7 separate regions of the Mus musculus genome follow, and regions 2, 3, 4, 5, 6 and 7 are each reported to be linked to region 1. The links are microRNA targets in miRTarBase. Many come from high-throughput screens and were not tested one by one. Region 1 holds a microRNA gene; each other region holds the end of a gene's coding sequence. Distances are from middle to middle.
What was found. Region 1 holds the annotated microRNA mmu-miR-124-3p (UAAGGCACGCGGUGAAUGCC, at 2,113-2,132, shown strand). A microRNA usually pairs through its seed, bases 2 to 8, with sites in the 3' UTR of a target mRNA and lowers its output. Matches are read on the target gene's strand: a 7mer-m8 pairs with bases 2 to 8, a 7mer-A1 pairs with bases 2 to 7 and ends in A, and an 8mer does both.

Region 2: the mRNA of Nsdhl is a reported target of mmu-miR-124-3p. The part of its 3' UTR that is shown has no 7-base or 8-base seed match.
Region 3: miRTarBase lists Imp3 as a target of mmu-miR-124-3p. Seed matches in the 3' UTR shown: 8mer at 1,467-1,474.
Region 4: miRTarBase lists Mdk as a target of mmu-miR-124-3p. Seed matches in the 3' UTR shown: 7mer-m8 at 3,258-3,264.
Region 5: miRTarBase lists Eefsec as a target of mmu-miR-124-3p. The part of its 3' UTR that is shown has no 7-base or 8-base seed match.
Region 6: miRTarBase lists Ctnnd1 as a target of mmu-miR-124-3p. Seed matches in the 3' UTR shown: 7mer-m8 at 2,833-2,839 and 7mer-m8 at 2,873-2,879.
Region 7: miRTarBase lists Klf13 as a target of mmu-miR-124-3p. Seed matches in the 3' UTR shown: 7mer-m8 at 2,910-2,916 and 7mer-A1 at 3,784-3,790.

What each region holds. Positions count from the first base shown.
Region 1 is chr2:180,891,971-180,896,186 of GRCm38, forward strand. Mir124a-3 (microRNA 124a-3) reads left to right here and starts at 2,070; the gene lies at 2,070-2,137.
Region 2 is chrX:72,956,559-72,960,774 of GRCm38, forward strand. Nsdhl (NAD(P) dependent steroid dehydrogenase-like) reads left to right here. Exons shown (of 8, transcript NM_010941.3): 8 at 724-1,970. The coding sequence ends at 1,056. Among named protein-coding and RNA genes, the nearest start is that of Zfp185, 29 kb to the right of the region's middle.
Region 3 is chr9:56,936,766-56,940,981 of GRCm38, forward strand. It overlaps Imp3 (IMP3, U3 small nucleolar ribonucleoprotein), which reads left to right and starts at 735. Exons shown (of 1, transcript NM_133976.2): 1 at 735-1,633. The coding sequence starts at 742. The coding sequence ends at 1,296.
Region 4 is chr2:91,926,743-91,930,958 of GRCm38, forward strand. Mdk (midkine) reads right to left here. Exons shown (of 5, transcript NM_001012336.2): 4 at 4,076-4,216; 5 at 3,063-3,373. The coding sequence ends at 3,348. It overlaps Chrm4 (cholinergic receptor, muscarinic 4), which reads left to right. Exons shown (of 2, transcript NM_007699.2): 2 at 475-3,087. The coding sequence starts at 507. The coding sequence ends at 1,946. Among named protein-coding and RNA genes, the nearest start is that of Mdk, 3.0 kb to the right of the region's middle.
Region 5 is chr6:88,255,159-88,259,374 of GRCm38, forward strand. Eefsec (eukaryotic elongation factor, selenocysteine-tRNA-specific) reads right to left here. Exons shown (of 7, transcript NM_023060.3): 7 at 2,176-3,233. The coding sequence ends at 3,043. Among named protein-coding and RNA genes, the nearest start is that of Dnajb8, 35 kb to the left of the region's middle.
Region 6 is chr2:84,600,447-84,604,662 of GRCm38, reverse strand. It overlaps Ctnnd1 (catenin (cadherin associated protein), delta 1), which reads left to right. Exons shown (of 19, transcript NM_001085450.1): 18 at 911-1,014; 19 at 1,760-3,882. The coding sequence ends at 1,771. Among named protein-coding and RNA genes, the nearest start is that of Ctnnd1, 48 kb to the left of the region's middle.
Region 7 is chr7:63,888,582-63,892,797 of GRCm38, reverse strand. It overlaps Klf13 (Kruppel-like factor 13), which reads left to right. Exons shown (of 2, transcript NM_021366.3): 2 at 1,001-4,216. The coding sequence ends at 1,290. Among named protein-coding and RNA genes, the nearest start is that of Gm27252, 5.7 kb to the left of the region's middle.

The DNA of each region.
Region 1 (4,216 bases):
TTTGGGTTGGGCATAAGCAAAGGTGGGCTTAGCTGTCTGTGTAAGAGGGGATTCTCTAGCGTCGGTTGAGACTGGCACCTGCAAAGGGAAGGATTTGGGGTTGGGAGAGAAGTATCCTGACCCTCTGAGGACCTTCGGGCAGTGGGATGAGATCTCCGGAGATTACCTCCTTCCCAGCTGAGTGTCTTCGGGGGTTCCCACGGGGCTGGAGAAGGTTGGAAAGGGAGGGGGAAGAATTTATGCCTGGGTCATTTAGCTTCTGTTAGAGGGCAGGTGGTCAAGGGCTGGGTTGGCCCAGGGAGAAAGGATAGGACAGAGGCCTGCCTACTTCTGTGTGGTTCTTCCAGTCTGCAGGAACAAAGGCCCGCTGGGAAGGCCTAGAGTGGCGTGGGTTTTTTTTTTTTTTTTTTTTTGTTTTTTATTTTTGGAAAGCCGCTGATCTCTAGCCCTAAAGACCCAGATCAAGGTAGTCACCCTTCAATAGACTGCAAAGAGTAGATTCAATTGCAGTCAACTGTGAAGTATGGACTGTGTTTCTCCCATCCTCGTAAGCAAGGACTCGCTACCCAGCTAGAAAAAGGGTGAAAAAGGGGAGCAGTCTCTGATGGGGGTTGGGGGAGATGTCTAACTCCCTTCTCCACATAGGGCCGCCAGCAGGAGGCTAGGACCCCTTTCTTTCCCCCCCCCAGGAGAGAGAGGCTCAGAAGCCACTGTGTAGAGTGGTTATTCCGGAAGGACCAGCCGCTTGTGTGAGGCAAGCACAGTGTGTTCGCTGCACAGCGGGGTGTGGCTGGTGGTGGGTGTAGAGGAGCTGCGGTCGGTGGGCTGCGGGAGAAGCTTTTGCGTGGGTCGTGCAGTAGGACAGAATGAGCGGTTCGAGAGTGTCCAAGAGGCAGTTTCTCTGCATACGTGTGACCCCGGGGCGCCGGGCACAATCGAAGGCGTTCGAGGGCTGCATCCGTGTGAGTCGAGGAGCGCGCGGAGCGGGACGCCGAGCGTGTGCGCGGGAGGCACGGGTCGCGCGGTGCGTGAGTGCGCGTGTACGCGGTGCGCGTGCCCCTCAGTTCTCAAGGACACCTCCGAGAGGAGGCGGCAGAGCCGGTGTCGGGTGACGTCACCGCGCGCCCCAGTGATAATCGCCCGGTGCCGGAGCCGAGCGCGGATACGAGCGGAGGCAGCGGCGGCGGCGGCGAGCGCGGGGACGGTCGCACCCGGTCTAGGCAAGGAGAGTGGGAGTCAGACTCCCGCAGTGCCGACCTCGCGGACGCCGGGCTCCCACCCGGCCCTCAGGAATTTGCCCGGCTTCCTTGGCACTGTCCCTGCGCTCTCCTCCACCCGGGGCCGTAGCGTGCGGGTCCTGCGGGCGCCAAGAAGGAGGCGGAGGCGGGATCGGGCGACAGCGCAGGCTGTGCTGCGGAGCGGAGGCGGCAACCGAGAAGCAGCAGGCGGCGGCGGCTCGCGCCCGGACGGGTAACTGCGCTGGCGGCCCGTGCCGGGGCGAGCCGGTCTCTCAGGTCACCCCGTCTTTCTCTCCTCGAGCAGCTTCTCGCCAGCCAGAGGCGTAAGAGAAGAGAGCTCGGCGGGTTGTAGAAAGAGACTGCTTTTCATCTCCGAACATCGAGGTTCTTTATTTTCACCGCACTCACGCACTCCTGGTGGGGCCGGGAAGAGGAGCCGGGGAAGGGCAGCTGCGGAGAGGCTTGCGCCGCCGGGGTGGAGAGGGCTCTGCACCCGTCAGAAGACTGCAGCAGGCCGGAGCACGCGCGCTCACCCCGGCCGGCTCCTGCATCTCCCTCGCCGCGGCTCCGAGGGGTCCCTACTGCAGGAACGCCCCGAGGGATTTGCCCGGGCCCTTCTCTACCTCGGGGAGGGGAAGGAAAACTGGCTCCTCGGAGTTGGGGGCGGACCAGGGCAGCACTGCCAGCTTAGCGCGGAGCCCCGCCCCGCCCGCCCGCCCCGCGGCGAAGAAGCTGGAGCATTCGCGCCCCTCAGGCTAGGACCCCACGCAAGCCGCAGCCCGGCCCCGACCCGGTCCAGCCGCTCGCCGCCCGCCGCAGCCCTGAGGGCCCCTCTGCGTGTTCACAGCGGACCTTGATTTAATGTCTATACAATTAAGGCACGCGGTGAATGCCAAGAGAGGCGCCTCCGCCGCTCCTTTCTCATGGAAATGGCCCGGGAGCCCGGCCGTCGCGGCGCCCCTCCCGCGGGAAAAAGGCGAGCCCCGGCCCCCGGTGGCCCCTCGCTCCGCGGACAAATCCGGCGAACAATGCGCCCGCCCAGAGGGCGGCCCAGCTGCTGGGCCGGGGATCTGGCCGCGGGACACAAAGGGGCCCGCATGCCTAGGACGTCACGAGAAGGGTGGGGGCGACCGCGGGGGAGAATGTGGCCACCCGGCCCCTGACCACGTGTGTCCGCAGCTCTGAGTGCTCGAGATCCCGAAGAGGGAGACGAGGGCCAGAAGACAAAGGGAGGGGCTGGGGAAGCGGCGGGCTGAGGGGCGCGGGAGGGAAGTGTGCAGCTTCCCGGGTTGTGTTGGCGCGTCCCGCTACCCACGGGCAGTCCTGGGCGCTGTCCTCGGTGCTGGCCGTGGAGTCACCCAGAGAGACGGGGCGCTAATGCGCTTGGGGCGAAGGGATGTCATGAGTATCACTGTTCCCATCTAGGGGGCCCTGGATAGTTGCCGCAGCAACCCCAGAGAAATGGGGTAGGGTCTGGGGTCACTGCAGTCTGTCCCCTGGGCGCTCTAGTTGGGGTCGCAGGGTGAAGGCGGTGATCACTTTGATTCTGAAGAAACCCCTGAACCTTAGGTTGAGGTTCGAGCTGTGGAAGTGGGGGATCTGCATCTGCATCCAAGGTCTAAATCTGGGTGGATACACTGGACCGCATCCCGCCCCCAAACCTCTCTCCAGCTATGCGGGACGCGAGGCACGTGAGGCTCTGCAGCCCAGAGAGAAAATGACAAATCCTCCTCCTCCCTCCCCCACCACCATCTGCAGCCGCAGTGACACCCACTCAGGTCTGCTGCAGGCATTTTTTTTCCTGTCCTCGGCAGCCAGCGCCACCTGCTGGCGTCCTGGTATGAGACTCTGCTCTGGCATGTCTCCTCCCAGCAAGGTTTCCGATCCCCAAGGTTACAGGCCCTATTACCTAGGGCAATGGTTCTCAACCTTCAGAATGCTGCTACCCTTTAATAGAGTTCTTCATGTTGTGGTGACCCCTCCCCCCAACCATAAAATTATTTTCGTTGCTACTTCGTATTTTGTTGCTACTTCATAACTGCAATTTTGTTACTGTTATGAATCCTAATGTAAATATTTTTAGAGATAGAGTTTGGCAAAGGAGTCCTGATACACAGGTTGGAAACTGATGACCTAGGATTGACTGTCAGTGGAGGAGGTCACAACCTCTGCACCCCCACCCCCTCAGACAAGTTGCAGACTTGCTTTTCATCTTCATGGGGTGAGTGTGAGCCCCTTTCCTGGCTCTGACCCAGATCCAGAACTGACCGCCCAAATTCTCCTAGCCTCAAGTCCTGTGCAGTTGCAGAAAAGCAAGACAAAAGGGCCCGCGTGAAGACACAAAGAGATGCTGCAGGGAGACTGCTTCAGTACTCCATGGAGAGATGCACACAGTCACACACTCATAGACCACTAGTGCCTTTGCATCCTGTCCCCAAAGCAGAGCCTCTGCAGAACCTCTGCCTCTTGGAGGGTGGAGAAGGGGCCCAAGCATACCACAGCTCTGACCTTGGGCTTGCTGTCTCTTTTTCCCTTCCTCCCTCAGAAGAGCTGCAAGGTGAACTCAAAGCAATACTGAAGGAATTGGTAGAGGTATCAGTCCTCTAGTGTAAAGGTTCCTAGGGGGCACAGGACTATGCCCCTCGTTGAGCTCTGTTGGGGGTGCTCTACACTGCAGCCTGGCTCTTTTCCCAGAGGGAAGATTCCCCCTGCCTCTCCCCTGGAACTAGAGCTCCATTCTTGTGCCACCGCTGCCCTTGCTGGAGAGTTGGCTCCTGACCACAGTGACCTTCTGGGCTGTGAGCAGAGATCGGGGTGGGGAGGATGGTAAGGGAGGTGGGCTGGAGAGTGGATAGGCGGTAAAGCCCATGGCAAGCTGCCCTGTGCCCCAGCCCAGGTTGAGTAGCAATCACCTTCACTCACCTTCATTGCACCCCCTTCAGTGGAGGCTAGGGGCTTCAGTTCAGGGGCACAGGACC
Region 2 (4,216 bases), not on the chromosome of region 1:
TAGAGCTCTCATGTTCACTCCAGGCCTGGCCACATGTACATTGGGCGGATGCCTGCTCCTCATTTTTCTCCTTTTTATAGTCCAGATCATCATCCTCCCTCCCCACGCACACACATGGCTCACATTGCTCAGGCCTGATATTCCTCTAGCAAGTGATGCGTATGAACTCCCTGACATTTGATACTCAGAAGTCAGCAGAGTGGAGAGAATCTATTCTGTTCCTTCATGTTGCCTCCTACTTGTCAGGGCTAGCTCTGTAATCCCTCCTGAGTACTCAGTACTCTTTTCTCCCCGGGAACATTTTCCATTTTCCCACTTTGGGAGTGGTTGGAAATGGGGTGGTTATAGCTTTTGGTTTAAAAGATCTAATATAGATCTTACATGCAAAGATTAAAACCAAATGTAACCTTCTAAGTGCAAGCTAAACTTCACTTAAAGTCCTGGCCTTTTGTAGAATTTGTATCACCTCCCCTCTTTGCCCTTAAACACTGCCCATTCTGAGAGTCTAAGACGGGCACATTGCTGCAGCTAGGCATGTGACGCTTGATAACACAACCTCACCATTTAGTGCCCCTGCAAAAGAGATGGGGCAGGCTGGACAGTGTGCCTTTGCTTTCCACAGAAGTTGGAAGTGGAGCCAGCAAGTTGAGCTTAGGGACCCATGTGTGGCCTGATCACTCTAGCAGCTGTGCAGGCCTTTCTAACTTCATGTTCTTTTACCAGGCATTTCACATCACCAACGATGAACCAATCCCTTTCTGGACGTTCCTGTCCCGCATTCTGACAGGCCTCAATTATGAGGCCCCTAAGTACCACATCCCCTACTGGATGGCCTATTACCTTGCTTTCCTGCTATCTCTACTGGTGATGGTGGTCAGCCCTCTCATCCAAATCCAGCCAACCTTTACACCAATTCGAGTGGCATTGGCTGGAACATTCCACTATTACAGTTGTGAAAAAGCCAAAAAGCTCTTTGGGTACCGGCCACTGGTCACCATGGATGAAGCTGTGGAAAGGACTGTGCAGAGTTTCCACCACCTGCGGAAGGACAAGTGAAGTTCCCCAGTGCCCTCCCCAGTAACTTTCTCCTCTCTGTTCTAAAGAACGCATATCCTTAACTGAGTTTCTCTTGACCTGTGTGTCCCTTGCTGGTTAGATGGTAGCATACCTGACACCCTCCATGACATTGGAGGTGACAACAGGAGACATTTCTCCCAGGATAGCATTGAACTTCTCAGGCAGAGTCATAATCTACTGCTTGGGTCTTTTTCTCTCCCCCACACCCCTACTTCTGTCTCCTGGGTTCATTATCAGAAAGACAGCACTAAAGTGAAGTCTTTATCTGGGGTCTTAAAAATTGAAGCAAAACCAGAAATTGTAAACACACAGTAAGCCTTCAGACATACATTTTATATGATCACAGTACAATAGCTCAAAGTATTGATGAATGTAATCCCCAATCCTTAAGGATAAATCCACTGCTGGTTCCTTGCCCCTCACATACTGTCTAGGTCTCTTTCAAAGATGGTTGCAGTGTCTGCCTCTATTGTTTTTCCATAAATCATTTCAATTTATCCACAGACTCTGGTGTGGTCTTTATTGCTCAGTGATGGTGCAATGCAATGGTACAGTGTGTGCTGTGTTAGCTGGTCAGCTCCTAATAAACAGGAGATGATGGCTGCTTGGCAATAAGCCAAAAAGAGTGGTCTCCTTCATCGACATGATGTTTGAGTAGAAACTCCTCCGTGAGATGGGGCAGAATGGGTTACAGACATCTTTGCAGCTCATTTCACAGAACATTATTAGGCCACTTTCCAAAGAGTACAGGCCACTAACAATCCAGCCATTTCTGTTCTCTGAACTCATTGAAATGTATTCTTGAAGAATTCTAAGTTCTTCTTCATCACTGTTCAACAGTAAGATGATTGGGGGAAAATAACAAAGAAATAAAAGCCATACAGTTTGTGTTGCTGGCTGTTCTTCCAGAGGTCCCAGGTTCAGTTCCCAGCACCCACATGGTAACTCATAACTGTCTGTAACTCCTGTTCCAAGGGATCCGACACCCTCACACAAACACACTTGCAGGCAAAAATACCAATGTACATAAAATACAAATAAATTATGAAAAATGGAAAAGGACAGAATACCATGGGAAGAAGATGGTCCTGTGAATGAATCTGGTGTAGGAACTAGGTGTGGAAGCAGTGTCCCCTCAGACCTCAAAGACGGAGTTAATTAGAAAGAGACAGACCCTACATTCTTAACTGCTCACTCTTTCCCAGCTTTCCTGACTCAGGCCCACTCACCCACTATGCCCTTTTGGAGGAAATGCAAGCACCAGGAAATTTCAGCCTTGGGCATACCCCAAACTGTGACAGGGGATAGACCTGGCACTGTGCCTGCCAGTCCTGCAGATAGTTCCAACCACTGAAGTAGCCTCACCTCAGCCACTACAAGACACAACTTGCTGTCATCACAGGCCGAAGTCCTAGGGGTTACCCAACCTGTTGAATTTCTGATGACCTACAGTAGCTGCCTAGAACATGGAGCTTGGCCTCTGCATCTGCCATGCAGTACTTTCTCCCTAGAGAATCAGAGCCAGAGGAAGGCAGCTAACTTTCTGTATGTCTAATGAGGTGATCTCCCATTTCAGTCCCTTTTCCCATCTCTATGGCTGCTGACCTAGTTCTTCCTGGCTCATCTGCACCTGAGTCAGGTGTGCTGTGATAGCAAGCTGATCTGTCCCTCTTCCAGTCCTGGGGATGTCAGACCTAAAACAATTCTAGATTCTACCTCACTACTCACAATGCTTTAGCAGATCTCAATGTTCTCCCAGCCTACCTTTCCACTTCCACCACTAGGCTAACATGTACTGTATTGCAGCAAAACTGTACCATCACTTTTGACCCTGTCATCCATATACTTGCTCAGGTTGTCCTGCTTGCTGACAGTGCATTTTTGTGGCCATTCCTTTCCTTCCCAGATCCCCTCCCGCTCCTCAGTCTGTGGCTCTTGGCCTTCACCTCATTTCATGTGTTTCCTGCCTTTGCTTTCTCCTACTTCCGCCAGACCATAGGTTCTTTCAGGGACAGAGGCAGCCAGTGTCCTGCCAGCACAGGGTAGCTGTCCATTAAGCACAGGTGATCTTCTTTCCTGACTTGGTGTCCTAGGGGAACAGCAGGAAGTGCTGGGGTAGAGATGAGCCACAGTCCCAGCATACATGTGTGGGATCTGCAACCTCTGAGTACCATAAATTAGCCTTTCAGCATGTGTCTTTCACCAATATGTCAGATAAGACTGTGACCTAATAAAAAATTGCAAGCTAGAGAATTTGGGACTCAGCAGCTGTAGGGAAACCTGCTTTGGAGAGAGATCCAAAGGAGATAAGGAAGAGGGCAGTAGTCATCTCTGTCTGCAAGTCTCTAAACTAGCTCTTCCACTGTGGAGTCCAGGACTCCAAAGTGAAAGCCATGCAAAGGACAGAAATGGCCTCTTGCCCTTCACAGGTTCCAGGTATGCCGTGAAGCCGCACATGCTGGTCCACCTTTCACACCCTCTCCCTCCCAACTCTACTCTTTATATATATATATATATTCTTCATTGACATTTCAAATGCTATCCCGAAAGTCCCCTATACCCTCCCCCTCCCTGCCCTCCTCCCCAACCCACCCACTCCCACTTCCTGGCCCTGGTGTTCCCCTGTACTGGGGCATATAATCTTCGCACAAGTCTACTCTTTTATCCCCAAGAGTACAGCTTGTGCCATCCTCTACCCACTTCCTCGGCGCCAGCATCCTATACCCAACCTCCAGCTCACTGTGGGGGAGGCAGCACCTGATTCTCTTTCGAAGTCTATCTCCAGCATAATTTCTTCCTTACAGCTCCCCTCGCTTTTTACACGTCCGTCTAATTATGTCCTCAGTCATATATTAACCATTGACCCAACTGCCCACTCTCGCTTACAGACTGATCTTCTTGTTCCTTAGAGGCTAAGGGCTTTCTATTCTTTACCTATTTCATGGAAGGTACACACTTAGTATGCCAAGAGCCAACAATTCCCACATTAGCCACCTGAGGGAGCCCCAAAGATCCTTTTCAGAGTCAGAATGGGAACTAATTGTTTTGGCCAATAAGCACCACCTTTCACATTCATACTCAGCCAGCCTAATCTAGCTAAGAGTTCCTAAGCCTACAGGATAGCAGGCTTCAATCTGAT
Region 3 (4,216 bases), not on the chromosome of region 1:
CTCTTAGCTGCATGTACATGTGCATGTCAGAAAAGAGCATCAGATCACATTATAGATGGTTGTGAACCACTATGTGGGCGATGGGACTTGAACTCATGACCTCCGGAAGAGCAGCCGTGCTGTTAACTGCTAAGCCATCTTTCCAGAGTTGGAGAGATAGCTCAGCCATTAAATAATAGGCTCACAACCAAAACTATGAGACAACTCTTTTAAAGGCAGTAACCTCTCTCTCTGGAAACTGACATCTACAGCTATTGACGGAGCAGACTCTCTTCAGTCACCAAAGACAGAACTCTGAGAGTAAACTAGGTGCTGCCAAGATGGCTCAGCGGTTAAGAGCACTTGACTGCTCTTCCAAAGGTCCAGAGTTCAATTCCCAGGAAAACCACAAACAGGGGATCTGAAGCTCTCTTCCGGTATGAAGACAGAGCAATCATATACACAAAATACGTAAATGAATAAATATTTAAAAACAAAACACAACACTGGACTAGACTAGTTGCATACGCACTGCATGCAAGGAAAAGTGTATTCGCAGGACACGGCTCTCCTTCCGCAATTCTTTCTCCCCCGCTCCCCTTTCAAAACAGGAAGTTCCAGAGTTGGACGAATGAAAAACCGGGGGCGTGTCTTTAACCAATCTTTTGATTGGTCCAGTGATCTAGAGGCGGGGTCTTTCTACGTCGAGGCGGAAATTACGCTAGATTTTCAACGTATTCCCTTTCTCCCGCATTCTCCATCATGGTGCGGAAGCTTAAGTTCCACGAGCAGAAGCTGCTGAAACAGGTGGACTTCCTAAACTGGGAAGTCACCGACCACAACCTCCACGAACTGCGTGTGCTGCGGCGGTACCGGCTGCAGCGGCGCGAGGAGTACACGCGCTACAACCAGCTGAGCCGAGCGGTGCGCGAGCTGGCGCGGCGCCTGCGCGACCTGCCGGAACGCGACCCATTCCGCGTGCGCGCCTCGGCGGCGCTGTTGGACAAGCTGTACGCTATGGGCCTGGTGCCCACGCGCGGCTCACTGGAACTCTGCGACTCCGTCTCGGCCTCGTCCTTCTGCCGCCGCCGCTTGCCTACTTTGCTCCTCAAGCTACGCATGGCGCAGCATCTCCAAGCTGCTGTGGCTTTTGTGGAGCAGGGTCATGTCCGCGTGGGCCCAGACGTGGTCACTGATCCCGCCTTTCTCGTCACTCGCAGCATGGAGGACTTTGTCACCTGGGTGGACTCATCCAAGATCAAGCGGCACGTGTTGGAGTACAATGAGGAGCGCGATGACTTTGATCTAGATGCCTAGCGAGTCTTCTTGTCCTGGCTTCTCAGCTACAGGTCACTGAACCGGGGATGGGGAGGATTGCCCCGGTGTACTGGGAATTTTTCCTAGAATTTGGACTGACAATTAAGTGACTGTGTCTTGAGAGACAGTGGGAAGCAGTTTTGTACCGCACTGGGGATTGCTAGCTTCTTGTGCCTTAAACTTTGTGGTGTAGAAGCAGGAATGTTACCTCTTCCCCTTTGCTTTCATCTTGAAATAGGACCGTCTGGATGGAGAGTTTGAGTTCAGTATATTTATATCGTTTAAAGAAACCCTTTCCTAATGCCAATAAATGTCCCACCGACGTTGTTTAAGTGCACATTTTTGTCTGGTCGTTCTTCTTACCTAGGGTCCTACATAGCCATATCTATTATCTTGCTAGCTGAAGAGCCTAAGGGCAGGAAAAGGGTTGAAGGCGTGAGGCTTTGGAGCCTCACGTGGAGGTTGCAGGATGTTGTACAAGCTGGGCAGATTTGTCACTTAACCAGTCCTTTTCTCGGAATGAATGTTTTGGCAGAGCTTTTATCCACAAGACTTCCTGTTGATATTCCAGCCCCAGGAAATACCATATTAAAGTCCTGGAGTGTTTGCTTGCCTAAGGAAATGATCGCCCTGTAGTTTGGCCAGCTAGTGGTTAGAAGGGACCCAGGAGGTTCCTGAAAACAGATGTTCTTCAAGGTCCTGGCTTCAGAGTTAAGGACACCCCCCCCCCCAAAAAAAAAAAACAAGCAAAAGGGCGAGGTAGTGCTGGCACAGCCTTTAATCCCAGCAGTTAGGAGGTTAAGGCAGGCAGATCTTTGAGTTCCAGGCCAGCCTGGTCGACATGAGGACAACCAGGGCTATGCAGAGAAATTTAGGACTTTAAAAAAAAAAAAAAAAAAAACGCAGCAGAAGCAAAAGGAAAACCATAAAGCAATAGAACTGGTAAATAGAGCACCAAGTTTTATCCCAGACCAAATACAAAATAGAATTCAGAGTCTGGCAGATTAAGGTATTTGTGTAGGGGTTATTTTTCTTCTCTCTCTCTCTCTCTCTCTCTCTCTCTCTCTCTCTCTCTCTCTTTTGAGACCGGTTTTGATTTGAAGCTCAAGCTGGTCTGGAACTAGAAGTGATCCTCCTGTCTCAGCCTCTCCAGTGCTAATATTACAGTGTGCACTGATGAGGCTCAGATTTTATGTGCTTCCTCTTCCTTGCTAGTGAGCCAGGCAAGATAGCTCAATGGGGAGAGAGGCACTTGCTGCTCAGGCTGACAGTGTGAATTTAGTTTTGGAACCCACATGGTGGAAGGAGAGAGCCGACCCTTCCACATGCATGGTACGTCATTTACATTCATACAAACAAAATTTTTTAAAAAGTAAAACTAGGGTTGGAGAGATGGCTCAGTGGTTAAAAGCACCGATTGTTCTTCCAAAGGTCCTGAGTTCAAATCCCAGCAACCACATGGTGGCTCACAACCATTTGTAATGAGATCTGATGTCCTCTTCTGGTACATCTGAAGACAGCTACAGTGTACTTAGATATAATAAATAAATCTTAAAAAAAAAAAAAGTAAAACTAGGGAAGGTAACATGAAATGATTCCAAATATTAGACACAGGTTTACATGGGTAATATATACCCTCCCAACAAACCCATTTAAATGAGTAGATCAGTTACTCTGCACTTTTCAGGTGAGAAAGGAAGATAAGTCAGTATTTGATTGCTTGATAAATGAATTAAGAGTTTTAAGAGTGCTAATGCACAGCCAGTCCTTAAAAGATATGTTGGAGTGTCAGCCTCCAGGTCAGTAGCAACACTAGGCAGTGATTGGTTTCAGCAGGATGCTATAGAAGAAGTTAGTCAGAGCTGGTGTATTATGCACTAAGCAGAAACACTGCAAGTGTGGGGTCAGCCAAGGCTGCAAAGCCAGTGTCTCAAGAAATAAAAGACTGAAGAAATGACTAAGCAGTAAAGAGCACTAGCTGTTCTTCCAAAAACTCTACTTCCAAGGGATCCAATATCCTCCTCCAGCCATGCATATGTATATAGACATGCAAGCAAAATACCCATCTACCAAGAGAGGGAGAAAAATTGGGCATGGTGGCATATGCCTTTAATAATATTTCTTTGGACTCATCCAATCCCAGCACCCAGGAGGCAGAGGCAGTTGGATCTCTGGTCTAGAGAGTAAATTCCAGAGCTACAAAGAAACCCAGTTTCAGTACCTCATCCCCAACCCCCAAATTAAAAAGCAAAACAGCCGCTGAAAGTGAAGACAAAAAAAGCTCTGATGTTAGGAGCTTGCACAGCTCTTGAAGAGGATCCCAGTGTATCAGACTTAAAATTACCTATAACTCCAGCTCCAGGGGCATGAAATACCTTAGCCTCCTCAGGCTCCTGCACTTACATATGTATATCCACACACATAAACAAAACTAATACTTTTAAGGAGTTATAGAGGCTGGGCTGTATGGCACATGCCTTCAAACTCAGCACCCTGGAGGTATAGGCAGGTGGATCTCTGCATTTGAGGTCAACCTGGTTTACAGTGAGTTCCAGGATAGCCAGGACTACACAGAGAAATCCTGTCTAAAACAAAAGGAGAAGAACAAGAGTAATCCGGAGAATGTCAGGCATGGTGGCGCACGCCTTTAATCCCAGAACTTGGGAGGCAGAGGCAGGCGGATTTCTGAGTTCGAGGCCAGTCTGGTCTACAAAGTGAGTTCCAGGACAGCCAGGGCTACACAGAGAAACCCTGTCTCCGAAAAACAACAAAACAAAAAAGAATGATCTGGAGAGGTGGCACAGCCCAGCTGTATGTTTGTGTATGTTTGTTATAAATAACTTGGGGGTATTCACCAGAGAGTACTGTTTGGACATAGGTTTAAGTCACTACCAAATCTTTTGGCCCTCAGTCCACTACA
Region 4 (4,216 bases), 89 Mb from region 1:
TCCTGAGCTCTGTCTCTGGGCCTTTGCCGTATCTCCTTGCCTTCCTTCCCACCAGCTTTCCTCCTTGCCCTCATCTGCGTCATCTTCAGGGTGAGGCCGGTGATCAGCCAGCAAGCACCAAGTTCTCTCCCGTCTTCTCTCTCAGCCTTCCCTTCACCATCTTCTTTCTAGCAGTGTCCCCCTCCCCCGCCATGTGTTTCTGTTTCCCCCCAAAACTAGATGATCCATTCTGAGATGGGGACCATGTGTGTTCATTCACTTTTATAACCTCAGCCCTGAGCTGATTACAGTACTTGCCTGAGGAAGCTTCCAGTAAACGGTAGAGGACTGAGAACTCAGGAATGGTTGGCACAGGGAGCCCTGACATTTTCCTGGATAAAGTTCCTCCAGCCACAGTTTGTGACTCCTCCCCCCCTCCCCCCTCCCCCATCCTCTTCCACCATTCACTTCTGTGCTGTCTCCTTCCTCCTCCAGCCACTGCCCACCTGTCTCCAGTTGGGTTCAGCATGGCGAACTTCACACCTGTCAATGGCAGCTCAGCCAATCAGTCTGTGCGCCTGGTCACAACAGCCCACAACCACCTGGAGACAGTGGAGATGGTGTTCATTGCGACAGTGACTGGTTCCCTGAGCCTGGTGACTGTGGTGGGTAACATCCTGGTGATGCTGTCCATCAAGGTCAACAGGCAGTTGCAGACAGTCAACAACTACTTCCTGTTCAGCCTGGCGTGTGCAGATCTCATCATAGGGGCGTTCTCTATGAACCTTTACACCTTATACATCATCAAGGGCTACTGGCCCCTGGGTGCCGTGGTCTGTGACCTGTGGCTGGCCCTGGACTATGTGGTGAGCAATGCCTCTGTCATGAACCTTCTCATCATCAGCTTTGACCGCTATTTCTGCGTCACCAAGCCCCTCACCTATCCAGCCCGCCGCACTACTAAGATGGCAGGCCTCATGATTGCAGCCGCCTGGGTCTTGTCCTTTGTACTCTGGGCCCCTGCCATCTTGTTCTGGCAGTTTGTGGTGGGCAAGAGGACAGTGCCTGATAACCAGTGCTTCATCCAGTTCTTGTCCAACCCGGCGGTGACCTTCGGCACAGCCATTGCTGCCTTCTACCTGCCTGTGGTCATCATGACGGTGCTGTATATTCATATCTCGCTGGCCAGCCGCAGCCGTGTTCACAAGCATCGACCCGAGGGCCCCAAGGAGAAGAAGGCCAAGACTCTGGCTTTCCTCAAGAGCCCTCTGATGAAGCCGAGCATTAAGAAACCTCCACCAGGGGGCGCTTCTCGAGAGGAACTGCGCAACGGGAAGCTAGAAGAGGCTCCTCCGCCAGCCCTGCCCCCGCCTCCACGCCCAGTGGCTGACAAGGACACTTCCAATGAGTCCAGCTCAGGCAGTGCCACCCAGAACACCAAGGAACGGCCACCCACAGAGCTGTCCACCACAGAGGCCGCCACCACACCAGCGCTGCCCGCTCCTACCCTGCAGCCACGAACCCTCAACCCAGCCTCCAAGTGGTCCAAGATCCAAATTGTGACAAAGCAGACAGGCAGTGAATGTGTGACTGCCATCGAGATCGTACCTGCCACGCCAGCTGGTATGCGCCCAGCAGCCAATGTGGCCCGAAAGTTTGCCAGCATCGCTCGTAACCAGGTGCGCAAGAAGCGGCAGATGGCGGCCCGGGAGCGCAAAGTGACTCGGACAATCTTTGCCATTCTGCTGGCCTTCATCCTCACCTGGACACCCTACAATGTCATGGTCCTGGTGAACACCTTTTGCCAGAGCTGTATCCCCGAAAGGGTGTGGTCCATCGGCTACTGGCTCTGCTACGTCAACAGCACGATCAACCCTGCCTGCTATGCACTCTGCAATGCCACTTTCAAAAAGACCTTCCGGCACCTTTTGCTGTGCCAGTATCGGAACATCGGCACAGCCAGGTAGACGGGCAGGTGCCTTAGGAGGTGCTGGTGTCAAGAGTGTGTACCGGGGAACCACATGGCTCACCGGCTGTGGAGGAGAGAGTAGGCGGCCCCACTCTGAGTTCGCATCTGCTGAAGAGAACAGGTCTCCCAGACACCGTGAGGTACAAGAGGCTCTTCGCTGGGATGGGAGAGCAGATCTCTACTGAAGCCTAGGAGGCTCGGCCCAGGGACGGTCTGAACTGGCACCACCTGGCCCATATCTTTTACCTTGCCTCAGGAAGATGGGGGACGATGGCTGGAGTGGGCAGTGGCTCTATCAAGGCCAACCATCGGTGGAGGTGGATGAATAGAGCAGAACTTGGGAGCATCTTGAGAGGAGCAAAAGGAGCCAGGCTTGCAAGGGTGGGGTCCCCCGTTATGCTGTAATCGGTGCTTTCCGCCTTCCTGCGCCCTCCTCTCCCTTGCATGTAGGCTCAGCCCTTCCCCTGCCCCCAAGTCCCACTCCAAGGTGAGGGACTTCCCTGCCACTGTTGCTCAGCCAGGCTCTGGATGGGAAGCCAAGCCCTTTGGCACTCCCCTGGCCAGCAGTCATCTGGACAGGGCAACTGGGAGGCCATGCTAAGCCGAGATACAGACTCCAGGGGACTGAATCAATTAATGGTGGATCTTATTGTCAAATTGTCAAGAACCCCCCCCCCCAGGTCACACATCAAATGAACAGCAGTGGGCAGTGTTCCTCTCTACCTCTGAGCGGAGGGAGGTATGGGTCCAAGGAGGGAAAGGTGATGGTGGGGAACTTGGTGATCCATACAGCCCACAGTGGCGAATGACACAAGCAAGCACCCTCATGGATCCCCAATGAGAAAATTCCAGACTTGCAGTAGCCTGGACCAGAAACTCTTGATGAGCTGGGACAGAGTTCAAGTGAGTCACCTAGGTCCCCTTCCCTAACCCCAGCCCTGTGGGTCCCTGGGAGACTTTTTTTTTTTTTTTTTTTTTTTTTGTAAATGTTCTGCTCTTTTTCCACGAGCTGTAGGGAGCACTTCCTTCATAGCCCTCAGCTCCCCTCAGTCCATCTTTCCCCATCTTCCCACCTCCGACAGAGCTCCATGGCAAACTGGGAAGGGGCTTTTATATATTAAAAAAGAAGCTTTTATTGGAAAAAAGTGAGTTTATTTTATTCATTTCTTAATAACAAGTATCAGGGTGGGGAGAACAAAAGAGGGTATGGGGAGGCTCACTTTCCAGAATCTCTTGTCCCTCCCCACTTTGGGCACTTGGTGTGGGCGTGAGAGGACAGGCGTGATTGACAGAGCTGACAGGAAGACAAAAGGCACTGGTGGGTTATATCTTGGGCCTGTGGGAGAGGAGGGCTCCGTTCAGGCTCCAGGCGAGGCCGGAGGCTCTCTGGCCTCCTGACTTAGTCCTTTCCTTTTCCTTTCTTGGCTGGAAAACAATAACGGAGATGCATTAGTGCGGTGGGTGACCTAGCTCGGACTCACCAGACAACGCAGACATGTCCATCAAGGAGAGAAAATCCTGCCCCCTAGTGGTGACTGACCAGTTCACCTGGAAGTGGTGGGAAAGGGCAGCCATGTGATATGAAACCTTTCTTTATTCGTTCAACTTTTTAACCCTCGCGCCCCCCCCCCCCCTTTAAAGACAGACTCTCAAGTCTCTCAGTCTGTAACCTTGAACTCAAGGCAGTGTTACTGCCTCAGTCCTGAAGTGCCGCTTTTTACAGGCACGAGCTACCAAGCCTGACTTTCAACTTTCTATTTTCATCTAGGATCAGAGTACTCCAAGTTCCTCACCGGGGAAATGGGCAGAGTCACCTCTGCCCTGCTGGCCTCAATAGCTGTTGGGAGTCAGGTAGCAGCATGTACCTTTGGGACAGCCTTTCCATAGTTTTAAGCGCAGAGTTAACTCCTCCCTGATCCCACCCCACCTTCCTCAGTTGACAAAGACAAGCCTTTCCCAGGAACCCAGGTCGGATGATCCAACAGAAAGAGTAGTTCCTACTTGGGCAGAGGGTTTAGCATCTCCTGAGAGTGGCCCTCAAGTGCCTGCCCATTCCTAACTTTAAGACTGCTCTGCAGAGACAGAGCATGGAGTAGCCTGGCCCACAACCCCACCATATTCGCTGACCTTTGGTCTTTGACTTGGTCTTGGAGGTGCAGGGCTTAGTCACGCGGATGGTCTCCTGGCACTGGGCATTGTACCGCGCCTTCTTCAGGGTCCCTTGGCGGGCTTTGGTGCCAGTGCTCCCATCACACGCCCCCCAGCTCT
Region 5 (4,216 bases), not on the chromosome of region 1:
GAGCACCCTCGAGCTGGAGGGAGTTCTACCCAGCTCAGGGCCCTGGGCTTGGGACTTCTGGTAGGCCCCCTATTGCTAGTCTTGCCAGGTCCTAGAGAAGATGCTCATTCACCTTTGTGCTCTGTGCACTGTGGGTCACCACCCTGCATCCCTGCATCCCCCAGACCCCACTCTCCTTTATTCTGCTTCTGTGCAGATGTCACACATGCAGTAGACAGACAAACCCTGAGCACATGGTGTCCAGACACTGGCCCTGTCCAGAGGCTCTGTCCACGCATGAACCCAGGTGCACATGTGCCTGGCTGGGAGGACAGAGACTGCCCCTTCTGCCCCAGGCCCCCAGGGCTTCCCATTTACCAGCCGTTATCTATCAAAAATATATTAACCCCGAGCCTGTTTCCATCAGAGTCTCGATTCCAGGGACGGTTCCAGATAAGCCTTATCTCTGTGCTGGTGCATTAGCCCCATGCTCCAGGGCCTGCCAATCATGTTGCCCCCACCCAGCCTGTGTTGTGACACTGGCTGTGTGACTTCATATTGTGTGGGCAGGCCAGCTAGTAGTAGGCTAGAGGGTGCTTCTTTTCCAAAGACAGACCCCAGGCACTATGGCAAGGAGTTGGGGATTGTCTAGGGCTCTAACCCTTGGCACAGATCCCAAGCAAGTTCCTGTGGGCTATTGCCGCAATGAGCCTGGCCCTTTGGAGTCGTGTGTTCCCTAAAATACTGGGGCTGGGGACTGTGTGAGGGGTGGGGGGTCCTGGAGCTGAGGGTCCCGCCTATAGCCAGTCCTGATCAGCAGTGCACACTGCTTCCCTCCCACTGCTGCCTTGGCTGGGCTGCCCCTTTATCCCATCTTTAACTCACTAACGTGTATTCAGGTCCATCCATAGCATGTCTGTGAGAGGCCGCTTTTGCGGCCCAGTTGTGTCCTGAGGCCACACTGGGCAGGCCTGCCTTATACACATTCTCAGAGTCCTATAAGCTTTCAGGGGTTACATGCTGAGCAGCCCCTTCCAGTGCTCAACCCTGGATTCTTCTGTGTTTCCTCTTAGGAAAGTAGTCTTCAGGAGAGATGCTGGGATATGGACATGGAGACACGTACAGGTCTTGGAGAAAATGGCTCAACTGGAGCTAGGCTAGGGCTGGGGCTGGCTGCAATACCTCTGTGTACATATCTGTTGGCTTTCTTCCAGGCTGCAGAATCTAACAGCAGCTCCATGTTCAGCAGAGGCCCATGTCCTCAGGTCTACCCAATAGAGCAGGGCTTCTCTTATATAACGGGGATCCTGAGATATAAGCTGGGGACCTGCCCAAGGCCATATGCCCAATCAGAGAAGACAGGACTCTGAGAGGAGTAAAGTTCCGGGCCCCTGTCCGGGGAGGATCTTGGTCCAGGCTCTGTGCTGAGCAGAAGGGCTTCTTTCCCTATGAGGATTCAGACCTCCTCACCCACTCACCAACACTTAGAGGCTGCAATCCTGGAAGGCCTCTTTGGGTCCCAGGAGTGATGGAGGGGACTATGGGACCTCAGCCAGGTTGGCTACCCGCCCTGAGGTCTGTGCCCAAGCCTGGGCCTCACTGGCTCTAACTGGCTGCTCCCCCAGGCTTCCTAACAGGTAAATAGGGTGGGGCAGGGCATGGGGTAGCTCAGCCAGTGGCCCTGTCCTTCAAGCATGGTAGTCTTTAGGGCTGGGTGGGGCTAAATGAGGGCACAGGAGGCCCAGGATCAAGCAGAAGGCAGCCACCCTGAGGTGCCCATGCAGGTGGCACCAGTGGGTTCCTTGGAGCTGGGACTCAGGTCCTTTGGGAAAGGAGCTCTTGTAGTGCCTACAGTGGCTACACTCACTACATTTGTTGTCCTCTGGGTCACACCCAGGCCAGGGGAGTTCTACAACTGGAGGAAGCTGGTCCCTAAAGGCCTGGTAGTTAAGACCCCGCCTCTGCGTGCCTTCAGCTATAGGTTGTCCTGACTATGGCTGCCTGGGGCCTGGCCAAGGACAGTGAAGGGCAGCCCCTGTCATCCTGGCCTCTTGGAGGCATGAGGGGCTTGGTCCGCTGATGATGTATCTGATTAGAGGCCATGACTTACAGGGACGCTGTGTTCTGTGGTCTGGCTCCTTTTTCTCTGCTCTTAGCTCTGGGACTTAACAAACCCAAGTCATTTGATCACAGCCTGCCCCTGTTAATATTTTTAATGCCATTTTTGAAAATTAAAGCATAATGCACCGATTACTGGGATAAAGGGAGGCCTTCACGTCTGTCTGGAGGCCAAACCGAGAAACATTGGGACATCTGCTCCCCTTACAGGTGTCTGGAAAAGCTCTGATTTCCTTCGTTGGTCAGTTCTATCCTCTTGCCCCTATCTCAGTCCCCATGCTAAGCTTGAGGGTGCTGGGGCTGAAGATGAGCATGGAGAGGGTCCAGGTACTCCACCCCTGGTCTAGCACCCTTGGGAGTCCATGGTTCCAAAAATGGAGGCCAGGGCCTATTGACCTCTCGTGCAAGGATGGAACCCCAGGGTACTAACCCCTGGCCAGAGGACCCCAGGAAACTCAGCTGTTCAGAAAACCTCCATTCTTCAAGGTCCACTGACAACATCCCAGGAGCCACTTGGTTGAACCTAGCAGCTCTCGAGCCCTAAACCCAATGCACACAACTCCCTGTGATGCCTGGGAAGCCCTGGGAGACAGGCAGACTATGGGCACACTAGGTCACATATGGGATGTTTATTTTCCGTTGGAGGGTGCCAGCTAGTTGGGGCAAGGCTGAGTGGCTGCACACTCTTATCGGGGGAAGACCCAGGTTGCTGGCTCTGCTAAGGCCATTTTCTAGTAGGCCTCGTTGCTATCCTGAGTGGGTTCAGGGATGGAGTGGCAGGCCCTCCTGGCACTGTTCCTCATTTTCCCCAGGTTTTCTCAATGGGGCTCAATAACAGTGCAATGGCAGTGGGATGGGGTTGACTGCCTCAGACTGGGGAGGTTGAGGCATGTCTGGGGGCATCTGGCACTGTGGTCTGGCTTGCAGCTGGGCAGGATGGTTCATTCAGGGAGTCTGTACCATGCGCTTCTGGGTGTCAAAGACATAGCGCTTGAAAGACAGGTTGAGTGTCACAGGCTGGATGGGCTCTGGCCGTTCAGTGCCCTCCTCTGGCTTGGTGGTCTCTCCACGGCCGGCTCGGCTCCGCTTCTTGAGTGTAGGTGTCAGGATCTTCTTGGACTCAGGGCTGAGGCCACCTGCAAGGGATAAAAGTGTCACTGACTCATTGTAGGCACAGCTGTCCTTGTCTCCTAGCTCTGCCCTCCCACAACTCAGTATCACTACCTTTGCCAATTCACTACCAGCCAGTCACTTCTGGGGCATAACTCTCTGATCTTCTGGCTGCTCATCGGGTCCCTAAGGTCCAAATGCTCTCTAGGAACACTGTTCTACCTGCCAGATATGCCACTAAAAGTTCCTGGACACCATGGTGATACTCTCTTACCTCTATATTGGGAGTCTGAGCCTGTGGCTGACTAATGTCTTCTTCCTGCCTCTGGGTGGGTTCAGAGGAGGGAGCCTTAGCAGATCAGCAGTGATCAGGGGAGCAGCTGGGAGCTTTAACCAGCTCTCCTGGGTCAGAGCTCTTGCAGGATCTTACCCAGGCTCTGGGAGACACTGTCTATAGCCAGCTCCTCATCCTCACTACCAACCCAGAATAAGGCTGGGCTCCTGGCCATTCTCAAGAGCTCAACACGATCTTTCTTCACCTACAACTGCCTTTTCTCTTTCTACTTCCACAGTGGAAGACGTCCTATGGTCCCTCAGTGAAAGGCTGTGCATCGAAGCTTAGCCATTTTTTAGTTATGCTACATCCTGACAGTGTCTGGCAGCTGCGGACTCTGCAGTAGTTACTGAGTCCAGCATCCTACATGCTCATTTAGTCTTGTATTGAGATATTCAACTGATTGTCTTAAGTTTGCAGATGAGATAGATGCTGGGAAGAGGCTCAGGCCATGTCTGCTATTACCTACTAGCACTTGGGGGAATCTACTGACATTCTATAATTCTGAAGGGCAAAATCCACCAGCATGTGGGTCTCTGACAATGTTTTTTTTTTTTTTTTTTTTTTTTTTTTTTTTGAGTCAGGATATCTCTAAATAGCTCTGGCTGTTCTGGAATTCACTATGTACACCAGGCTGGACTCAAACTCAGAGACACTCTTGCTTTGCTTCTTGAG
Region 6 (4,216 bases), 96 Mb from region 1:
TGCCTAGCCAATTTATTTTATTCTGTATGTACGAGTGGGATTTTTTTTTGCCTGCATGTATGTGTGTTTACCAGGTGGCTCATGCTTTCAAACGTCAGAACCCATAGAACTGGAGTTAGGGCTGGTTATGAACCACCAAGTGAGTGATGGGAGTTGATCCAGGCCCTTGCAGTAGCAACAAGTGTGCTGAACTATCATCACTCTAGCCCCCTGACCTTGAATTCTTGATAGATCCTCTTCTTCCCACATATGTTCTCAGAAAGTCTCATGTGGCATATAACTAGTATAGCCCTAACTCTCTTTGTTTTTTCTCTTTACTCTCTACTGGTCTTTTTTTTTTTTTTAAGCAGGATTTCATAGCCCAGGTTAGCCGAGGATGACCTCAAATTCTTGTTCCTCCTTCCTATTTGCTATTCTATCTCATCATTCTACTTGGGTATATGAAGCCTTCTATGGGAATATCCTTCCCCTTTGTTCTTCTAAATTCTTTTCATTCCCAAAACCTAAACTCAAGTTGTGTTTTGCTTTATCAGTTTCTTTCAATTGTTAACATATTTCTCTGTCTTCTCTCAATTTCAGGGCTGTATCTCTTTTGTAGGCCAGGTCTCTTTAGTGTCACTCACCAAGGGATACACTGTTGTTTCTTGTTGTTATTGCTTTGTTGTTTTTGCAGTGGTGGGAATTGAATCTAGACTAACCACTCTACCACTGAAGTACATCCCCAGTATTGGGTATTTCTCATACACCATCTTTCCCATTATACTCAAGTTATGTGTAAGTGTTAAAAAGCACCAGTGTTTAATATCTTGTTGGTGCATCTAAAACAGTTCATTTCACAATCTAATTCACATATTCACATACATTGTATACTAGAAGGAATGTCTTATTTCTGTGTACTTTCTTCCTCTAGATAACAACTATTCCACACTGAATGAGAGAGGAGACCACAACAGAACACTGGACCGATCTGGGGATCTGGGTGATATGGAACCATTGAAGGGAGCACCCTTGATGGTAAATCCTTGTTATGTATTGCTGTGTATGAGGCTAATACTATTTTGAAACTGTATGATATATAAAATGGGAGGCGGCGGGAAGAAAAAGACAAATCTTTTTGGTAGGTTTTCTTTGATGCATCTTGATGGTTCTTGGGATGTTGCTCATTGGTTGTGTGGATGGATTTTGCAAGCGTTGCTGACGTCACTGACACTAACTAACCTGCTCTCGAGGACATCTCCCTGCTCTTGCACTTACCTGTTTAGGATGTTTGCCCTGTACTCTTAACAGGGTTTGTTCACTTTACAGATGTTGGGATTTCCCTTCCATCTGGCACACACTTAGAAAGTCTTACCTTGGTTCTCTTACTAACAAATTGCATGTGTTCACAGCAGGACGAGGGGCAGGAATCTTTGGAGGAAGAGTTGGATGTGTTGGTTTTGGATGATGAGGGGAACCAAGTGTCTTACTCCCCCATGGTATGTCCTCCAGTCACCCCTAAGATGGTCCTGAGGAAGGAGGTTGCTGTGTGCCTACTCTTTGCCAATCATGCTGATCTGATCAGGCCTGCGATACTTGTTTGAGCCGCATGGTACCCAAGGGTTCTACTTCTGTGATCACGACCTCTTCCCAGGCTGGGATGCAGCGGATGATCTGGTTCTATGTTGTGTGCTGCTTTCCTGCCTCCAGATTTGCTCAGCTGTGTATGTTTCCCCTGTCGTCCTGTCCTCAGCCTTAACAGCCTTCTCTTTTTTCCCCACAGCAGAAGATTTAGCGCCACTCTACCTGCTCCATATGGGCTTATAATATATTACTTTTATTTTTTGGTGGTGAAATGGACTGATGATTTTTTTCCTTTCTTCGCTGGACTATTGTGCCAACTGCCAGGCTGACTCCTACCCTTGTAGCCCAAATTGGCTGCCGTCATCCGTGAATTACCTACATCTTCCACTGAAGTTTAATTGTCCTATCCTCCCAGACCCTACTTCCAGTTTTCCCCCAAGAAACCTGACTCTGTTATTTGCATATCTTGAGAAACTGCTGCAGATTAGCTCTTTTTGCCAGCCTTCCCTGGAACTCTTGGCCTTGCATAGAGGGAGGGAGAGTGGAACTCTCTACTGGAAGCAATGGGAAGAACTGAAAATTACACACTGTCTGTTCAGCAGTCAGCATTCTGACAAACTGATGACTTTTAATCAAGACTATTTTTTCTGGTGTGGGGGGAACTTTTTATTTTGTTTTGGATGGGGAAGTGTGAGTTCTTCCCTTATCCAGTGGCGATTTTTGAAGCCAAGAAGGCTGGAAACATTGGCACATTCCACCTGGCAAGGGCCCTCAAGTAAGTGAAGTACTCCCCAACCTCAGAGTGAGAACTCTTGTTCCTCCTGTTCAAGGCAGGGACCACAAAGGACCTACAGACTCCATCTCTCTGTCAGCTTCAGGATAACCTTGGGGTGCTGTCCTGACCAAGGCTGTCCTTAACCCTCCTCTCCTACCCTGTGATAAACCTGCTAACTTGACCTGGCTGTTTTGCAAGATGCTTTGTAAAAAGGAGAATGCCATGGAACCCCCTGGTTGAGAAGAAACAGAAAGATTGTCTATTGAGAAGATGAACCTCTAGGAGGAATGTACATGAAGTGGTTAGTCTGAAACTGGCAGGAAGCTTCAGAGCTGGCTTTCCTCAGCCCCCTCACCCCATCTCTCTTCGTCCTTTATAAGCTTGTCCTCCCTCTCCTCCCCTTCCCTGGATTTGTTGGCCAACTTACAAGACTTGTACATAGCTCCTCCCCCTTTGCCCTTGTAAGGTAGGAGTTGCCCTGGCTTTGCCTCTTCTTTGTGCCTTTGGCCTGGGGTGCATCTCCTCCCTCTCTTCCAGGTGCCTTTCTTTGCCTCTGCAGTCTCATTTCTCATGATTTTGCAAGTTAGACCTTGTTATTTTCTTACCCACTGTTGACCCCCAGTAGCTGAAGCAAAGAAGAGGAGTGGTAACTTAGGGAACTTCACGTCCCTACTGGGTGTTGTTAAAGCCTCTGACATAGCCACAACAGGCTTCTGCTTAACAGTGTGCAGTTGGGATTGGTGAAAATCCATCCCGATAAGTCTCAAAGTGAGGCTGTTAGGAGGGAGTGCTGTGACTCTGACTCCTTAGTCGTCCCCAGTTCCCATCATCTCTGAAAGGCTACAGGGAATCAGGCCATGCCTCCATTACACCCTTTTCTGTTGTAGTGAGTGTTACAGCTTGGCTAGAGAAGCAGCTACTATGTGGGTGCAATTTTTTTTAAACATTTTTCCTTATTTTCTTTCCTTAATCTAAAAGCTCTATTCAATGCAACTGGAATTCTTTATCCCTCTTGTCCTGTTCCTTAATATATTGAGGCTATGGGGTAGGAGAAAAGTGCACAGCCCACCAACTCCTTTTCTTATACATTGCAGTCACCCCCTCCCCCCAACCTTTGCTTCCTTCCCATTTCTTCCTAGTCCCGTTTCCCTTTTCTGGCAAAAAGGAGCTCTGTGCTCTCTGTGACCCTCAGAGTACACTGCACAGGGGAGCCTCCCCCACCCACATCTATCTGCCTCTGGTTTTGGGTTCTCTTGTCCTCTTCTGCTCTTCCTGGTGCTCTTTCTTCTCGGTGGGGTGTGGGTAATAGAATAGCCATGGGCTTTGGGGACCTTTAACTGTTTTTTTGTTTGTTTGTTTTGTTTTTCCTTTTTCATTTATAAAAACACTAAACATTCAATTTCAGCAAACCAAAAATCCTACCCTCCCACCGAATACTACTAAGGGGCATATCTTCTGCTCTGTATCTTTTCTCTCTTTCTTTCTCTTGTTAATGCTTTTAAAAACAAATGAGTTTTTTATATAAATAAAAGTTTTTAAAGTGTGTGTGTGGGAGGTCTGTGTCATTTCTTCACTTCCAGCTGCACTTCTTCCCTCCTTTCCTTCTTAGTTACTTTGGTGCCGGTGTTGTTTTTCTATGCAGAGCAGCCAGAAGGCGGTTCGTTGTCTCAGGATGGGCTTACTTTAGTTTCAGTCCCAACTCTAATGAAGGAAGGTTCTTTGTAACACCCTCCCACTCCAGAGTCTTAAAAATATTTAATGAATGGCTGAAGTAGAGCATGAGAACTTTCTGCTATTAGAGTTAGAAAGTGAAGTGCATACCCTGGCTTCCCCATTCTTTGGGGTTCTCATACATCATGACAAAATCAGCACTAAGCAAAG
Region 7 (4,216 bases), not on the chromosome of region 1:
CAAAAAAAAAGAAGAAGAAGAAGAATATTTTTAATTTCTCAGTGCTGGTTTGTGTGTGTGTCCGTGTCCTCTGAACTTGCTCTTCTTTTTTAAAGGTTTATTTATTTATCTTATGTATATGAGTGCACTGTAGCTGTACAGATGGTTGTGAGCCTTTGTATGGTTGTTGGGAACTGAATTTTAGGACTTCTGCTCGCTCCAGTCAGGCCCAAAGATTTATTTATTATTATACATAAGTATACTGTAGCTGTCTTTAGATACACTAGAAGAGGGCATTGGATCTCATTAGGGATGGTTGTGAGCCACCCTAATGTGGTTGCTGGGATTTGAACTCAGGATTGCTCTTCCGGTCAGTGCTCTTACCCACTGAGCCATTTCAGCAGCCCCTGAACTTGCTTTTTATGTTTTCTGTTTGTTCTGTGCCTGGCATTGTATCTCAGGTTCTGTTGAGAGTTCTGATTAGAGGTTTTAGGTGAATTCTCCTGTTTGCCAGCTTCTCCCTTTTCCTCCACAGTTGGTGGCTCTGTTGTCCTTAACTTTCAAATTTTTCACACTAGTGATTGACTTTCTTTCTTTCTTCCTTCCTTCCTTCCTTTCTTTCTTTCTTTCTTTCTTTCTTTCTTTCTTTCTTTCTTTCTTTCTTTCTTTCTTTCTTTCTTTCTTTCTTTCTTTCTTTCTTTCTTTCTTTCTTTCTTTCTTTCTTTCTTTTTTTTTCTTAGAGACAGGGTTTCTCTGTATAGCCCTGGCTGTCCTGGAACTCACTCTGTAGACCAGGCCGGCCTCGAACTCAGAGATCCTCTGAGATCCTCTGCCTCCCAAGTGCTCAGATTAAAGGCGTGATTGATTTTCTGTGGTTGTCAGGTGACCCCGAGTGTCCGTGGATGGGTGGGTGCTGGGTCTGCGGCAAAGATAGGCCTTGGAGGATGGTGAGAGCCAGTGGCCTGGCGAGCCGGTGGGGCGTGGCCAAGACTTACCTCTGTTCTGTCCCCCTTCCCCGCAGGTGAGAGGCCTTTCGCCTGCAGCTGGCAGGAGTGCAACAAGAAGTTCGCACGCTCGGACGAGCTGGCACGGCACTATCGCACGCACACGGGCGAGAAGAAGTTCAGCTGCCCCATCTGTGAGAAGCGCTTCATGCGGAGCGACCACCTGACGAAGCACGCACGCCGCCACGCCAACTTCCACCCAGGCATGCTGCAGCGGCGCGGCGGGGGCTCGAGGACCGGCTCGCTCAGCGACTACAGCCGCTCCGATGCCAGCAGCCCCACCATCAGCCCGGCCAGCTCACCCTGAGCACCCGCGCCTGGACCGCGCCTCCTCACCCCTTTGGTAATAGGAAAGCTGAGCGAACTTGAGAAGTCCACAGCAAAACAGTTTTCTTCACCTCAGGTGTCAATTTTTAACAAAAAGAAAAAAAAAATCTCAAAAAAAAAATTAAAACAAAACAAAAACACCACCCACAAATTGCACAAATACAGCTATCCACGAAGATGAGATTCAGCGGTGTTGAACCCCCCTCTCCCCCACCCCACCCCCCCTTTCTCAGGGATGAACGCGGTCCACGAGGTCAGTGAGGGCATGCCTTTCTGCCGCCTTACTTTGTACATAGATTTGCACTCTGGAGTTTCTGTGAGGTTTAGGATTACATTGGGGCAGAACAGGACAGCTGGAGACAGTGATGTGGTGTTTTTGCAGAAGACCCCCCCCCCCCCCCCAAAGGCCTAGGACCCTCTCTTGCCTACCACTCAATTGTGGTTCTCTGCCCTTTGGCCTGGCTAAGAGACCGGCCACCTCACAGGGATGTGGTAAGCCATGACAGACCATGGGAGCACTTGCCTATGGAACTGTGAAGGACCTCTGCCTTCTAAGGCTGGTCCTGTCTGCCTGCCTGCCTGCCTGCCTACCTACCTGCTTCCAGAAATCCTTAGGAAAATGGAGGCCAGATGCAAACCCTGCCTGGATTGGCACATCATGGCTGCCAACCACCCATGGAGGCGGCTGGGCCCTGCCTGTCCTACACGAAGGCACCTGGGACCCTTCACTATCACACTATGTTCTCAGACTGGGAAATAGTACCCTGGGCACATTGTACTGGACCTGCTTCTCCCCAAAATTGATGTTGTTTTATCCGGCTTCCTAAGCTCTCGTGCCCTGGGCCACTGGACAGGACCGCCACGCCCCCTCTCTGCCTCTTCAGTCTGTGAGTGTGGCAGCGCTCACACATCCCACAGGACTGATGGTGGCAACGGCATCGTCAGTTACCGCCTCAGAGCAGCACAGCAGGTATTCCAGGAGATGCTATTGGAGAGACAAGGACTGCTGCTCTGGGGGACACCGGATGAAAATTGTGGGAATGACTTTCTCAGAACCTTGGGTACAGACTTAGCAGACCCACAGTTCCACACTGTTGCATTACCCACTCTTCTGTCCTGCTTCTGCCTGCCCTGCTTGAGAGCACCCAAACCGCACCCAGTCTGCAGTGTGGGTCAGGGCAGGGGTGGGTGGCCTGCTGCTGGTCGGGACAGCAGGAATAGAAACCAGGCCTGCTCTATTTCTCCTGGAGCCTAGACCTGGGCTACATTGGCTTCAGGTGCTGGGCCTCGTCAGCAAGACCATGTTCTGGTTGCTCCTTTGCAGATACTTGGAGTATCATCTCCTCCCACCCTGCAGAGGTTCAGGCATTCTTCCCCTTCTCCCACGAACTCTGGGGCCCAGGAACACAAAGCCCCAGGACTGGATGTGTGTGTGTGTGTGTGTGTGTGTGTGTGTGTGCGCGCGCGCGTGAGTGTGTATTGGGTGGTGGGTGGGTTTGGGATGGACATGGGTTATCTTACAGAGACCTCTCTTCATTTTGATGTGGAGAATTGGCCCTTGTGACTCAGAGGGTCATAGATGGGCTTCCTGGGCCCAGTGTGCCTTGGTTGTGGCCATTCTGCCTCCGCCCCAACCCTCACACAGTGTGGGGGTGCAGCACAGGGGAAACCCAGAGACCATGCCCAGCCAAGTCTACAGTTTCCAGCTGTTGTCATGTGGCTCCCACATGGATCTTGGGCACCCCTTTCTAACTACCTGTGTCAGTTACAAGAGGCTAACAATGGCATATGGTGGCTTCTGGTGGCACCGTAGGTGCTGAGTTAGGCTGTGGCATTGTTGCTGCCAAAAGCAGGCGTGGTGGGTGGGGGGAGGTCCCTGCCCTGGTCCAGTGTAAAGCTGGTAACAGCTCTGCTTGCATTTCACCTGGGGAAGAGAGTGGGGTACGTGGCCAGGACCTTGACTGAAGAAGGGAGCCCTGGGTGCTTGGGGTGTGGCGATCTTCATGCTGAGTTCCAAAGTGTAGTCCCTCCCAAAGTCATTTGTGTGAGGCAGAGAAAGCCACACTCTGAACACATTTCATGTCTCAGGAATTCACATTCCAGATTCAGGAATTTTATTCCAAAGTCCTTTGGTGCACCTACATCCACAGTTCTGAAGCCAGAGGCAGCAGTGTGCCCCAGAGACCAGCCACGGTCTCTCCTTGGGAGGAGCCAGGTGTCTCCTTGTGGCCTACCTCCCCATAGAGTCACAGCAGGAGGCCTTCTGACTCCGCCACTGTCTGCACACGGGAAGGATAAAAGGACTCTAAGCCCCATCATCTTGGAATAAAAGAAAGAGCTGGTTTGTTTTAGAGCGGGTTGGGGGGGAGGGGGAGGGAGAGTGGGCATAGGCTGTTTCCAAAGAGAGCACTTAATTTAATTTTTCCTCTGAATGACCCAGGGCTGTTCCATCTGATAGATGGAAGGGTAACGTTGCCTTAAAACAGAAATATGCAGGCGTTGGCTATTTTTGGCAAATGAACGTGTCTTCATTCCCAAAGTGGTTCTCCTTTAATGGCAGGGTGTGGTCCTTTGGCATGGGGCCAGGGCACCCCTCATAGACCCCCTCTATATCATCTGGGGCTTCAGTTCATGTCTTCAAGGGGTGGGAGGAAGGAAGGAACATGACTCACTAACTTCAGTTCCAGGGGCTTTTCATTAGGTTCCCATCTTGTCATAATAAACAAGGGATGCCTTCGAAGATGCAGTCTTCCCAGACCCGGGTCTGTAGTAGGATCTTTGAGTTTCTTGCGGTTTATGGCCATATTTTCTGGTTTCAGTTTGACTGAGGAACCCCTAGGGTGCCCAGGAATAATACTGAAAAGTCAAATCTTTATTTTCGGGATGGGAATCAGAGATCCCACAAT